2 linked regions of the Alligator mississippiensis genome follow. The protein of the gene in region 1 interacts with the protein of each later gene in a pairwise test. Links are inferred from orthologs where the notes say so. Each region holds a gene or a part of one and is shown in the gene's direction. Other genes may lie near its edges.

What was found. The genes of interacting proteins can lie anywhere in the genome.
Region 2: the proteins of RTN3 (region 1) and CERT1 interact in binary tests that used the Homo sapiens proteins (3 or more experiments, as listed by UniProt). The link is inferred for Alligator mississippiensis from reciprocal best matches to the Homo sapiens genes RTN3 and CERT1.

What each region holds. Positions count from the first base shown.
Region 1 is NC_081838.1:4,720,968-4,728,156, reverse strand, and holds the start of RTN3 (reticulon-3), read left to right. Parts: upstream 1-4,183; 5' UTR 4,184-4,218; coding exon 4,219-6,280; intron 6,281-7,189. UniProt on the Homo sapiens protein: May be involved in membrane trafficking in the early secretory pathway. Inhibits BACE1 activity and amyloid precursor protein processing. May induce caspase-8 cascade and apoptosis.
Region 2 is NC_081826.1:254,408,379-254,416,229, reverse strand, and holds the start of CERT1 (ceramide transfer protein), read left to right. Parts: upstream 1-4,840; 5' UTR 4,841-5,041; coding exon 5,042-5,137; intron 5,138-7,851. UniProt on the Homo sapiens protein: Shelters ceramides and diacylglycerol lipids inside its START domain and mediates the intracellular trafficking of ceramides and diacylglycerol lipids in a non-vesicular manner.

The sequences.
Region 1 (7,189 bases):
CTGGAAGAGAGAGACTCTGACACTCTTGATCCTATAAAAGTTGCCAATAAAAGGCATCCACCTCAGGTTCTGGCAGCTCTGTGCATCTCCCTGGGAGAATGCAAGGTGGGACTTTGCATTCATTTCTCACAACTGGCTTTTGAGGACCTTCTCCACAGATGTCCAGTGTCGCTGTTCTAGAAAATGTCCCAACTGCATTTGCCATTTGAAATGTTTGAGGTCAGGAAGGAATTTTCCTCCATGGTCAGACTGGTATGGACTTGGTGTTGTGAGGGGTGGGGGGTGCCTTCTTCTGTAACGGGGTGGGGCATGGCCTTTTCCCTGGGATCTCTTTGAGTGTGTATATTAACAACCTTTTATAGAAGCAGGACTTTGACCACCATTGTTCCCCCTGCTTTACCTGTGGCAGGTTGGGGTGTGATGTTTTGTATTGCATTAGGGTTGATGATAGTTTTAGGAAGAGTTTAAATTATGGATTTGTATACGATGGGTTAGGTAGGGCCAGTCCTGCCTCAAGCAGGGGGTTGGACCAGATGTGACCTCTGGAGGTCCCTTCCAGCCTGACTTCGTGAAGATACCCCAGGCAGGATTCTCATATTACTCTAGTTTTACCTTCAGTGGGAAGGAAGCTTGGAAAAGCTCTCAGACAGGTTGAAGTGAACACCAAGAAAAACCTAGTCACTGGCTTCCCCTCCCCCCCCCTTTCCCCTTCTGTCTTCATTTGTCTGGATTCTCTGAAAATCAGGGAAGGATACAAGGAAAATTATTTCCCTTTACTGATACAATTTTTGTTAGGTGGAACATCAGCATAATTCCTGCGTACATCCTGTCCAGCCTTCTCAACTTGCATTCTCTGCCTTGAAGTCTCCATGGTTCAGCATGGTACCTAAGTTTTGTGTCGCTGGAGCCATGCTGTGTATCAGTTAGAGACCTGCCAAAGGTTGATGTCCCCCCACAGTCGTTTCTTCCACACTTAGCACCATCTTCATATACAGCAAGCAGCTTGTATTCACACACACTTTAAGTTGGCCAGTGATCTCTCTCGTTTGTGACCATGCTGGTGGTGCAAATGCTACATTGGAAACAAGCTTCAGTTGTGTCACTGCGTTATCTGGGGGATGGCGGTGGAGCAATATAACATGTGATGCCATCAGATGTAACTGAGGCCTTCCTGTCCTTCCAGTGGGCAGACATAGGCAGCCCCCCTTTCTTTTACCTATGGCAAATTAGGGTGTTCTTGGTGGTTTCGGGCTTTGTGCCTGGTAGTTGGGTGAGTAGGTTGTTTGTGCAGTTTTTATTTGGAATGAGCTAGACAGATGTGCACGGTATGGTTTAGATAGGGCTGATCCTCCCTTGAGCAGGGGTCGGCCTAGACGACATCCTGAGATGCCTTCCAAACCTAGTCTTTGATTTCTCAAACTCTGTTAACACCCTAATAACAGATGATTGCCATGCAAAGTAGGAATATACTGTATTCTCTCACCCAGAATATAAAGCACACTTGTTTTTGAAAGGTAGAATAAGGCGGGGTGAGTAGCAGTAGTAGTAAGAAACAGTAGCAGCAGCAAGGGATCCCAACCTGTTCATAGCTCCCTGAGTTGCCTGCAGATTTTACTTTTACTTTTGCCTTTAACTGGGCAGAAACTGCTCTTACTGTATTTATCACATATAATGTGCAGTGCAATTTACAGCAGCTTGTTCTTGTGGGTGAACCATGCATAGTATATGTGAGAAAATATGGTATTTGTGTTATACTTAACCAGCATGTTGCTTCCTTCAACTGGCTGAAAGTGGCCCAGTTTTCCAGACTGCACAGATGAGCAGGAATGAATGCCTAGGTGAAGGATAAACTATTAAAGCAAACCCATTTGTTTTTCCGCTTTAATTATTAGCTCCTCATGCCATTAATTTGCAAAGCAATTGGTGCTATAGTAAGGTATTTCTCTGCATTTTAACTTTATTCAGATGAAACTTGGAGGCTTATGCCTTGCTTCATTTGTGTGCATGTAAAACATTCCTAATTTTTAATGCTAACAGGCTCTTCTGATCAGCTCCAGGGGAGGCGTAGCATCTCGTAGAAAGAGACTTTCTACTATAAAGTTCTGTTCAGAGCTCCACCTCTTAGCAGACCTTTTGCTCTCATTAGTCTTGATAGCAAGGGTTGTTTTGGAGCTAATCAACACAGTTGAATCCACTTAGGAATTGCCACCGTATCGATGCAAATCTGACGAGTCTCCTCTCTCTCTCTCTCTCTCCTCTACCCTCCAAGGGTTTACAGCATCATAGCTCCTTTCACAACCACACTTCCAAGCATAGGAGCATTTCCCAAGTGGCAGTGTCACCCAGACTGGTGCCCGTGCCAGTGAAGTCATAGGCTGCACACAGAGAATCCACTCTGGGCACATCTGCTTAATTACAGTGCCTGGCGTCTTGTCCCGAAGCTCAAGGCGGGGTTAGGATGTACTATAGCCCCGTAAACATTTGTGTTTCAGGTGAGTGGCGTCCCTGATACGACTCCACCTTGGAATGACATAACCAGTCTCCCTTTCAAGACCTTGACCTGAAGTGGGGCTGTCATCCTAGCCCCCGGTGCTCTTGGCTACCAAGCCTACCCACACGCCAGGGTAGGAGAAAGGAGGAGGAGTTTTTCCTCACAACAGAACAGTGATTCTTCTAAGCAAGGTCCTTCTAAAGGTGCCACACACTATCAGCACTTAGTTGTGCAAACACCCGCACATGATTCGCAAGATAAAACAGAGACATCCAGTAGGAATCCTGAGGATCCAAAACATCCTGTCGTGGTCTTTCTGACTTCTTTACAATAGAAGAATTGCTCTATTTTTTTTTCATGGTCAAGAAATAAGATGCATCCTCTTGGCTTCTCTCAACCCATGATGGCAGATGCCAGGGAGAGTAACGCATAAGAGAGCGATCACTCAAGGTATACCTGGTACTTTGGTCTCCCTCAGAATCATCCACTCCTGGCACCATTGATAGATGGGTTGCTGGACTAGATGGAGCAGTGGTCTCAGCTAGAACGGCACCTCTTATGATCGAAAGCTAGCTGGCATCTTCCAAGGGGGGGCCTTGATTCTAATGAGGTTGAGAACCACTGCAGTAGAAAAGCAATAATGTTACACTAGGATGTCTTATGGAGGCTTCTGTTTTATCCAGGGAAGCCCAAACAAGTTCCTCTGAGCCATATGCCAGTCTATTGGGACATTAGTGATCAGGCAACATTTTCAGGAGCAGCTACATACAGCTAAGCATACATAAGTTCGCTCACTACCAGATAGGGACGAATCCAACCCCTCAGAGTTCATCCTCATGGTCAAGGCAAATTCCAGACTCTCACCGTTATGTCTTGGTGTAGAGGGGTTTTATACCTTTCAGGTTCAAATGTCTGTATTCCCACGCATTTCTCTTTGAGAGGGTGATCTCTTGGCCGGTAGAGTAGAGAGCAGGGAAACTTTCCTAGGGTCACCTTATTAGCATTGGGTGCGATTGCTGGTCTGTGCATCTCAGCTCCTTTGAAACTGTCCCTCGCCAGGTGCCTTCTCTCTCATTCTAATCATTGTCCTTCAGACTGACCTGTTTCTAGGAGCAGAGGATCTGGGAAGAGGAAGGTAGTGTGCTCCCAGCACAGGACAAAGGGGTGAGGGGTGTTCAAGACGTACTGCTTTTTGTGGTCCAGGCCAACCAGAACATCGAAGCTCAGCAGGCAGCGGCTGGACCTTTGGCCTTTTCAGGCTCATCTAGTAGTCACTTTAATTGGGGTGATTTGCAGCTGTCTCATTTGGATCTGTACCATATGTCATAGCATCCCCCTCGGTGTCTAGCACAGCATGCCTGAGATCCTCTTCACCCACCCCTGGTCGCTTTGCACACTTCAGGTATGGAGGCCCCCACCTTGTCGTTTGCTATCGGTCACAGCTGCTCGAAAAGTCCCGCTGTACATTGCAGTTTCTTGTGTCCAGTGGCTTTTCTGTCCTGTGACTGGCAGTGCTGTGCATGTCTGCCAAGGCTGGTGTCTTGGGCCCTCAGTTTCTCCCTCCCTTCTAGACCCTGAGAGCATGTTGCCTGTTTCGCTGTTAACCTTGTAACTACACTGTGAATCTCTCCCTCTCTCTCAAATCTCTGGCCTCAGAGGGGACTGCGTCTCCCCTTTCTGATAAGGCATCTTCGCCGGCGGATAGTGAGCCCCATGCCCTAACGAACATGAGGGTGGAACTAGCAGTAGACGGCAAAACGATGGTGGATAGCTTCCATGGGCCTAGCATGAATTCTGGAGTGGAGGCAACCTCTGTGGGTTCCCCAGAAGGCTCCCCCTTTTCCATCGTAGCGGAGCCCCGTTCTCACGGCCCAGCCATTCCAGTTGGTTTCCAAGAGCAAACCTATTCCACAAGCGATGTTCAGAGGGGGGATGACCAAGCAGAGCAGAAGGACCAAGGCGCTATGGACCAAAACAAGCCTGATGCCAGCAGCGAATCCAAATTTACTTTCTTGATGGAGCAAAAACAAGGTATTGAGCAGCCCGCTCCCAAAGACTCCATCTACTCCTCGGCCCAGCCTGGTGGTGAGACTGTGCTGGAAAAGGATTCTCCCGAGTCCCCGTTCGAGGTCATCCTGGATAAAGCAGCATTCGACAAGGAGTACAAGGCCTCGTTCATTAGTGAAGCCAACGATCTCGGTGGTCCCTGGGTGGTGCATGGTGAGAGAGAGCAGCTCACTGACATTCCCGAGGATCGCGTCTGCGAGTTTGAAGCCAAACCACGGCGGGGCAGCAGCGGCAGCTTCCCAATGGGCGCTGGCCTCTCTCGTCAGTCTTCCTGCACCACAGCTGCCCTGGAAGAGGTGTCCAAGTGCGTGCGCGAGATGCATACCTTCACGAATGAGCTGTTGACCTGGGACTTGATTCCCAAGGTGGAGTCTGCCAACAAGGTCCCTGAGTTGGATCTGTCAGAGTTGCCTTCCAAGGATGCCATAGATAGTCCTGCCCAGCCAACAGGAGAAGAGAAGGAAGCATTTAAAGCAGCCTCCCCTTCTCCCATCAGCATCAGGGTGTCCGCAGACTTGTCGGAGTACCAGTTCGAGCCACACTCTCCACGAGGCCAAGTTGTGGATCTGAAGACCTCCGGACCTGCCACTATCGATATGAAGGCTGATGTTGCTTGGACAGGCACCAGCCTGGTTGAAACAGCAGATGCAGACAGCTCGGGAGAATCTGACGACACGGTGATTGAGGACATGACCGCAGATCTGACCTTCAGAAGTGGCAAGTTCATCCTCCAGCCTGCAGAGAATGGCGCAGCTCCAGCTGGAAAGCCAGCTATCAGCCCTATCACCACTGGCGAAACCAGAGACTGGATCATTGCCGATCATGAAGAGGCCCCCACAGAGCTGCCTGAAAAGGGCATGATGCCCACCAGGACACCAGAGGACCACCGAGGATTCATCGATGACTTTGAAACACTCCAGGCTCACCCCGATATCAGGGGGAGTCCAGTATCTGAAGCAACACTTCTCAAGTCTTCCACTCTGGACTTTACACCCGTAGCTGCACAGCAAGTGAGCCGCACCAATTCAGTTGGCGTTGTGAAGCCACTTCAAGCTGGTGGAAAGCCTGATGTTCCTTCTAAAGAGCCTATACATGCACCAAGTGGAAAAGCCCCCTCACATATTACAGAAGGCCAACAGCGTCCAAACACCTTGAACGGGGAGAGCTTTGTGGACTTCATGAGAGAGTGCCTGAAGTCCAAAGGCAGTGGCGACTCCCCAGAGGACCTCACAGAAAACTTCTTGGAGGCTGAAGCCGTAGCTTCAAAAACTGCACCTTGCAGAGACAGAGCATATTGGTCAGAGGTGAAGGAGAGTCGTGAACACACTGAGAGAGACCTAACCTACAGCGGAGGCAGTCTCCAGAAATCCCCTTTCTCTCCAGGGTCCCCCACCACAGCCCAAGATCTGGAGCAGGAGCGACTAACGATCAAGGCCCTCAAAGAGCTAGGTGGAGAAGTAAATGAGAAGACATCTCCCACATCAAGCAAAGTCTCCCCGGTAGAAGGAAGAAGGGCAGCCTATGACCCCAACACTGGGACACCCCCTCAGAAACCCACCTTGGAGAAGAGGCCACTGTGTGTCCAACAGCCTATGGACCCCAAGCCAACTCCCATCCCTTGTGTTGGCACCGATGACAAAACCCCCAAAGAGCCCATCTGCGTTGGGCCGGCCCAGCCTCCTGTAGATCATGCTCTAGTGAGACTCCTGACTAAGTTTTCAGGTAAACCGCTCATTAGAAGTACAGTATCTCATTTGTTTGTCCAATGTTTCTCCTGATGCTACAGGTAGATATCTTAGGTCTCTGAAGGAAACCATCGAACGTGTTTCCTTCCTTAATCTTGAGCTTGCAAGAGTTCTTCCACTGTTCCTCCAGTGTCTTCAGCCCTCTCTATGGTATCTGAGCACCTTCTGTGTAAAATCTCTTGACCTTGATTGAGTTGGGGCATGCCTCTCTTGCTGGGCCGTCCGTGACTTTGTTGGGGGAGAGAAGGGGACCTTGTAGGGAGGTCTTTGGTAATAAAAGACCCTCGTATCCCTACTCCATTTACTGCCAAACCAGTCGATACAACCATCAAGAAATAGCAAATTCTCCATGTCACAGACATCCCTATTAATAACTCGCAGTTCCCGAGGCTTCCGAAATCACGTGTCGGGCTTAAAAAAAAATTGACTCTCTTCAGCAAACACAAGCGTTGAATTTATTGTAAGAGGTTATTGTGAGTGTTTCTCTGCAGAAGATAAAGGGTTGTTGGTGGGGGGAGCGGGTTGAAAACGGTCCTGAATAGAAGCTTTTGTTCACACTCCCCACATGTTTATGCTGGAAAGATGAATTTCAGGCCTCATCTTCAAAGCTTTTTCATGTTTGGACACACAATAATAAGGGGGTTTTCTTTTGCTGGGGGGGAAGAGATTCAGGCACAGATTATATAAGGTTCAATTGGCGTCCAGTCAGCATGGAACCGGTGACACAACGAAGGCTTCTGTTAGCGCAAGGAGCCGTGGGCTGGGCTGAAGACCTCTTGAGCGACAGCAAACAAAATGCAGAGAAGGCTAACGGCATGCTGGGGTGCATTAATAGGAGCATTGCCAACAGATCAAGGGAAGGGATTACTCCCCTCTATTCAGCACT
Region 2 (7,851 bases), on another chromosome or scaffold:
CATAAATCAATTCTCCATGGATAAAGCTATAACCAGGTCACACTTTGAGTTCTGCTTTTAGATCTCCAATAACTTCATCTAGAAACCTGATATTGGCTTGAAAAATCTCCAGATTTATTCTGAGGTCAAAGAATTGTCATCTTGTTACCATAATTTATCTTGAGTCAATTTTTAATAGGCAGTGTAACTGTCATATAAAGTAAAATTTTACAATCTTTCTTGCTTTCTAAACCAAGGTTAGCTTATGTACTATTTCCCACTTTCGAACCACAGAAAACAAATTTTGTACAGTGCATAATATAACCAGAAAAGATCATTTAAAAACTGAATTCTCATGGTCAAAATTCATCAGGAAACATTATGCCAAGAGTACTGTTGCTCGCACTTTTTTAAAATAGGAACACACATTTAACTCTATACACACATACACTACATATAAATTTCTTGTTTTTAAAAAGTTTCTAAATTGTTTTCTGTTTTCTAGGGATCACACACAACTGTTTTAGTAAAAAGACATTAAAAATATTAACAGCTGCTTAAATAACCAAATCAATTAATGTTTTGTTCTTTAAACACAACTGCTTGAAGGAATGGAGGATGGTGCAGGAGACCAGAGAAGTGAAGGATGAATTCAGAGTACTGAAGTTTGAAGGTTGCAGGGTCAGCTCTGACTGGGAATGAGTGTGAGAAAGCAGGGTAGATATGCACATTTATAGACTAAGAGACCACAAGCTTTTGTCACCCCAAGTTCACTTCATCAGATGGAAAGAGAATGAAACAGAAGGTATTAAGACAGGGATGAACAGAAGAGGAGCAAGGGACAAGCATATCCAGAACGGAGTCAACAGTATTGGTAAATATACAGGAAGGAGGTGGACAGGGCAAGAAACAGGCAAGGACAGGAAAAAAAACAGACATTAAAGGGAATCATGGAGAACCTGAGTATAGCATGGAGGCAGTTATTATCAGGGTACAAAATAACAATGAGTGAGGGAAATCAAGGACTGGGGCAAAGTATAAATGGGGCAGGTTACAGGAAAAGCCTACTTTCAACCTTAACTCTTTTTTAATTTGGGGGGGGTGGGGGGGGCGGCAGGGGGTTGTTTGTTTTTATTTGGACCTGTAGCTAGAAGCTGTACAGTAAAGTTTGAAAAATTTTCCTTTTTCGTAGTCAGGTGTTTTGGGGTTTTTTTTGGTTCTAGTATCTGTTTCATTAATGTTTTTTTCTTTAATCACTTTGAGGGATTCTTTGAACTACAGCCCTGATCCCACAACTTATGCACAGCCCAGTCAGTTTTGATGAGCTTTGCTCAGGCATGCTCATATTCCACACCCTCCCTCCCAAATGCAGGAGCAGAGCTGTAAATTATTTAGCACATTTAAGGATGAAATCATATTCAAGTTTAATGAAATCTTATCAAACCATTCTATTAACACATCCCAGAGAAGATAGATGGTAAAGGAAGCAAAGTATATTATGCTTTCTATATTTTAAATGAATCTCATTTGTTGCTATGACTATTAATATACAGGATACAAATTAAGATTTAACTAGAAACACTGTAATAGTTAAGAGAGCCAAGATAAACAAGTCATGTTACCAGTGGACAAAACTTTTGATCATAGTCTAATTGTAAGTGAATTTGACAGCAGCAATAAGAGAGAGAAAAATTACTTTAAATTAATTTCAAACATAAAAAAATAGATAAAACATCTAAAGCATCCTAAAATATTTGTAGCTTCCACTGTGCTAACATAATTTCCCCATTCCCTCAACATTCTGCAAATTTGCATCACGGTTGCAATTAATGTATGCTAAGTACCTTACTATTAATCTGCATGATTATTTCCAAAGGTATATATGTACAACCAGAGGTGGAGGGGAGGGGCACAGTGTTCACTGAAGCACTTGCATCCCCTCTGATTCCTGTTCCACCCGAAGTTTAAAACTAACTGCCTGGCAGTCACAGCAGCATTTCTAGTCAGGCACTCTGAGGAAGTCAATGGACTTCATACTTCATAATCTATCTGATTCCTTTTAACTTCCTTCTAAATGCTTCATTCCACAGGTGTTAATGACCCTTTCTTCCTTTTAAGAGTCTTGATGTTCCACCCATCAAGCTAGTCTTTCTTCTGCAATTCGGCTGTCTGTTAGCTGTTCCGGGTCATGAAGCTCCTATTTCACAGCACTGCAGATTGCTTTTAGAATCATAAAAAGTCAGGGATGGAAGGGCCCTTTGAGGTCATCTAGTCCAACCCCTTTCTCAAATCAGGATTGTCCCCTTCTAGATCATCCCACCCAAGGCTTTGTCTAGCCAGGTCTTAAAAGGCTCCAAGGATGGCGATTCCACCATGTCTCTGGGTAGCCTGTTTCAGTGCTTTACTACCCTCGTAGTGAAAAAATTCTTCCTAATATATAACCTAAACTGTCCTTGTTCCCTTCCATTGTTCCTTGTTCTGTCATCTGCCACCACTGAGAACAGTCTAGCTCCATCCTTTTTGAAACCCCACTTCAGGTAGCTGCTATTAAATCCCCTCTCAGTCTTCTCTTCTCCAAATTAAATAAACCCAGTTCCCTCAGCCTCTCCTCAGAAGTCATGTGTCCCAGGCCTCTAACAATTTTGGTTGCCCTTTGCTGGACTCTCTCCAATTTGTCCACATCCTTTCTGCAGTGTGCAGGGGGGGGGGGGGGGGAGGCGCGGCAGCAACACTAGATACAGTACTCCAGGTGTGGCCTGAATAGAGGGGAAGAATGACTTCCCTGGATTTGCTGGAAGTGCAGCCCAGTATGCTGTTAGCCTTCTTCACAACAGGGGCACACTGTTGGCTCGTATTCAGCTTATTGTCTCATGAGCTTTTAACTCATTCCAATGAAGTTACTTTGGTTTTTGCTTCAATCTTAAACTGAATAATATAGGCCTAGACCCCCCAGCCTATTGACAAAGCTTTTATTTTTATGTGGAAAAAAATATGGTCTATTTTATATGTGCTGACCCACCTCAGCATCTGCACCAGCCTGTTCAAAATCCTTACATCCGTCCACGTGCCTGACACATTTTCCATTCACTGTAATCATCAGGAGCCGTGAGTTCATGTGAAAGAGTCTACTTGAAGGCAGGGCAGGGCAGCACCTTGCAGGCAAACTCATTCAGAAACGGAGAAGGGTTCGTAAGTAATGGTCAGCTTCACATAATGAAGCTGCTATCTGGTCACAGCCTCTCATAAGTGAACTGAGTTTAAGTTTGAGTCATGAATGCTTATGCATTTCTGAACGAGTCTGTCCCCAAAGTGCTACCCAGCCCCACCTGCACACCCCACCTTGCCCCTCTCCAATGAGACTGCGCACCCCAAGCAAGCTGAGGGCAGACCTGCGCCTTAAGAAGTAGAGATAATACAGGTGAGCCAGGGACAGAGCCTGCCCTCGCACAGGCATGTGTGGGTCCCAGTGCAGCCATCAGCCTTGCATGCCTTAGCCCTGCCCAGGCGCTGCAAGGATTGGGCTCCTGGGCCCTCCATGGCTGGAGGCAGCCACGCGAGCTGATGCAGCCCAAGCACCTTGAGCTGATGCTGCACCACTGTTGCCAGGTGTACAATAATTATCATATTTGTATATCTTCAACCCTTGTGCAACATACAACCAATAATGGTGAAAGTGTTCAAAATGTACAATACATTTGAAGCAGCTAATTGATGCAGCATATGCAAAACCCAAGCCACTGTCAGGGAGTCTTAACCAATTTTTGGGCTTGCTGTCAGCACTTTCTTATGACAGCTTGCCTCAAAATAAAGAAAAGCTTCAACTTGAATGACCCAGGTCTTACTCATCACTGGCGGGTTACAGCGAATTAAAGTAAAGACCACAACGACTTTCTGGCATACTGATTTGCGTGTTTTTTCAGTGTACAATAGTTGTTTGGCAAATACGATCATTTTGAGCTTCCAATTCGATAATTTTATATTTAAGAGGTGGCAGCTCTGCGCCCCCGCCGAGGCGCGGCTCTTGGTTGGGTCCAGACAAGCCTCGGCACCAACGGGCACCGGGCCGGGGACGAGAGGCGGCGGGAAGAGGCCGCGCGGAGGCAGGGCCCGGGGACACCGCTGCCGGGCGAAGGGGCGGCCGAGGCGGGGGGGCGGGGCTCCCGTGTCTTCGCCCGGGAGCTACAGACGAGGCAACGCCCAGAACACGGCTGGGGACGCAGGGCCCACCCGCTTGCCGGCCACGTTACCTGTGACCGCAGGAAGTATCGCTTGCCCCGATGCCTCAGCTGTGAGCCGGCGGCACCTTCCCTCAGCCGGCCGGCTCGGACCGCCCCTTCCTGCGGGAGGCGTGACGCCGCGGCCGCCATGTTTGTTAAGGGAAAGACCGCAGACTAGGCAGGCACCAGCTTCCCGACACCTGCGCTAGGGTGGGGGAACGGGGAATCTCTCCTGCCTGGAGAAGAGCTACGAAGCCGGGCAAGGTAGCAGACAGCGGTCTCTGTGAGGAGAGGCAGGAAATCGGGCCCCACCACACTGAAGACCGGAAAAGTCACATTCAGTTCCAGGCAGTGGAGCCAAGATGGCGGCTGCCAGTTCCCCTCCCAGTGTAACTGCTTTCCCGCGGTGGACTGCGTCTCCCAGCATGCTCAGCTCCAGGACGGAGAAAGACTGCAACTCCCAAGATGCACCGAGGCGTCCCGCCCTCGGCTGCCTTCGCGAAACTACAAGGCCCGGCGGGCAGCACGGCGCGGGCCGTGACACGGGGCGGGGGCGCGGCGCGGCGCGGCGCGGGCCAGGGGGGGCTGGTAAATAGTGGCACGGAGCGACCTCCCTGTGTAAGATGGCGGCGGCGGCGCTCTGAGCGGCGGCAGCGACTCCGGTGTTCGCTGCGGGCTGGGGCCGCACGGCGCAGAGGCGGGAGCCAAGCCAAGCCGCGGCGGGTGCAGCCAGGTCGGGCGCGGGACCGCGCAGGTGGAGCCAGTGGCTGCGGCGGGAGGCGGCTGCGGTGAGCGGGGGCCGCGCCGCGATTCCCTGCTCGGTGGCGGCGGCGGGTCAGGCCCCCATGTCGGACAACCAGAGCTGGAACTCGTCCGGCTCCGAGGAGGACCCCGAGACCGAGTCCGGGCCGCCTGTTGAGCTCTGCGGCGTCCTCAGCAAGGTAGGGACGGCGCCGCCCGCTTGGCGCTGCCCTCCCCGCGGCCGGGCGGGCACGTTGGGGTAGCCGGCGGGCGTCGGGCACGGGGAGGGCTCGGGCTGAGGATGCTTCTAGCGCCCGTCCTGAGAGCGGCGAAGTCTCCGCTCGCCCCCACCCCCAAATGGGGAGTCATCGCCGCCCGCACGAATGTCTGCCCCGGCGCCCCCTCCCCTCCCCTCCCCTCCCCTCCCGGGCCGGCACGGGCGGAGCCGCGCATCAGGTCCGCGAGCGGAGTTGGGCATGCGGTGGTCGCCCGGGGCTCGGCTCGCCCGGGGAAAATGCTGCTCATTTTTCTTTCTCTCATTTTGTTTCTTTTTTTTTCTGGTATGGTCTCTCTCTCTCTCTCTCTCTCTCTCTTATTCTCCCCCCCCTCCCCCCCCCAAGCAGCATGTGATGCTCGCACACAAATCACTTCCCATAAGTAGGGAGACGTCAAAGAGGAGTGGCACAACCTTTAGCCCAAGTATCAAAACAGTGCAATCAAACCACCCCCTGCCGCAGGAGATGTGGGGGGTGCGAGAGGAGGAAAATGGCACTGATGCTGCTTTTTTCCCAATTCTTGCTGCTGCTTTTTTTTCTGCTTTCCATGGGGGGAGCCAAACCTTTTCCTTTTGGTTTGGAAATGTAAGGAGACGGCTCACAACTGCAGGCAAAATGAGATTAAATAGGCTTTTAATAGATTAGGAGTGTTTTAAGGGCTAACTGTTGAGTGAACGGCTTCAGCAACAGAGAGGTGCTGGTGTTTTCTAGAGAAAGTAATATCATTATACACCCAGGTGGCTGAGTTCAGCATTTCTGTCCTGCTTTGCCACAAGGATGATTTTTAAGTCTGCACAGAATGCCGAGGTCATGGGATACTGAGATCATGAGCCACTCTTGTATACGAAGAAACCTATTGTAACTTAACCAGATGTTATGCTTTTTTGTAAGGGAGTGTATGAGCTCTTTCCAACTGGAAAATGTTTCTTAGCTCAGATGGGAGGAGTGCTCAAAAAGAGAGCGGCCTTGGCTCTTGTTTGGGAAATCTTGTATTTGGTATTGGGGGAGGGGACAGGAGACATTTCACAATGGTTTTCATTCATGGGAGGTTTTGGTACAGTAATGTGCTTTGCTGCCCTGCAACATTACCTCCTTATTAGGTGATTCAGGTCTTTAGGTAGAAAAATTATGTTTGTGGTGTGCTGGCCACTTGAATATTGGCAAATGACATGCTGCATGAAGTTCTATGTTAGCTTGTAATGGTGGGACTATCAAGTACGTGAAATCCCAAGGTGTCTTCCCAAACTTCTGTGCCATATTGGAAGGTAGTATGTGGTTGTCTTTCCTGTTTGTGGTGATTATGCTGATTTTCACAGACTGCTTTGCCTTTCCTGTTTATCCCCACTGTGTTCTCACATGGGGGTTTCATCTGAATTGTGAAGCATGATGAAACCTGTTGTAGTGAACATGCAGGAAGGCATTATGGCTGGCTTATATTCACTTGGTTTTTTTGCTGGTTTGTTTGCTGCTTAATTCATGTCTTCAGAAATATGAGAGCGAAATGAATTCAACTGAACTGATTGCCTAATGGCCTGTTTAGTATGCAAATGTTCTTATTTTTAAAGGCTCTTTCATATGGAACTATACTCCATACCAGCAAGAGCAGGTTCCAACTATTTATTGTGTTTCAGGTGCTCCAAGATATTTCTTTTCATTTTCCCCTCACCTGCCCTGCTCCCTGTGGGGAGAGCAGGTAGGATCTCAGTATTGGGAAAGGAGGAGCTGATTTATAAATAAAGGGCTTAGTGTTTGTTTTTTTTTTTTATGCTTAAATCTGTACACATGTTCTTACTGACTTGAATGTTTTTAAATATCTGCAATGCCCTTCTTGTAGTTCATTTTTTTTGTTTACCTTTTAAAGGTGGACACAAACTAGAAAAATTTGAATACAATTATTTAAACAGGTAGTCTTTCCTTTACAAGATTCCCCCCCCCCCCTTTTTTTTTTTGCTTACCTAAAACTGTATTGCAGGGTCAATTAATTAAATCAACCATTTAAAAAATATATTTAAATTAGGTTTTGTTTTTTTAAAGCATCTTAACAAAAAAAAATTTTTTTTAAATACAATTAAATAAAAAAAAATCTAATGTCAAGATAGCTTTAATTTAAGATCTCTTAAAGCTCAAAGAGATCATCATGGAATAGGAATTAACTTTAATTATATATTATTTGAGATGATATGTTTATATAACCTTTCTAGAAAAGTTTTATAAATAGGTCACAACAGGCCATGGACTATATTGGGGGTCCAATCTTACGGGGTTTTTGTTGGCTCCTCTGTAGATTAATAAAGATTAAAGAAACCCACTCTCCTGGGACTCAGTGCTCAGTCTAGAAGATCCCATTAAGCATCTCTGTGATGCTTAGTTTCAGTTGTCAAACTGTGGATTTGTCTCCAGAGATAATATCCTTGTTAACAGCAGTATATAGAGATGAGAGAGAACAGACGTGAATGATTACCTACTCTTCAGTCTTGTCTCTGCAAGTTTGTATACAGAGTCAAGTCCTTATCTTTCTCTAAAAGTGCAAAGCTTCAAGATGTTAAATGAATAAAGGATATCAACAAGAATGCACATTTGTAGAAAACGGCAATTAAATTGAGGCTTCCTGACCAGTGATTTTAAATTGTGATTTAAGT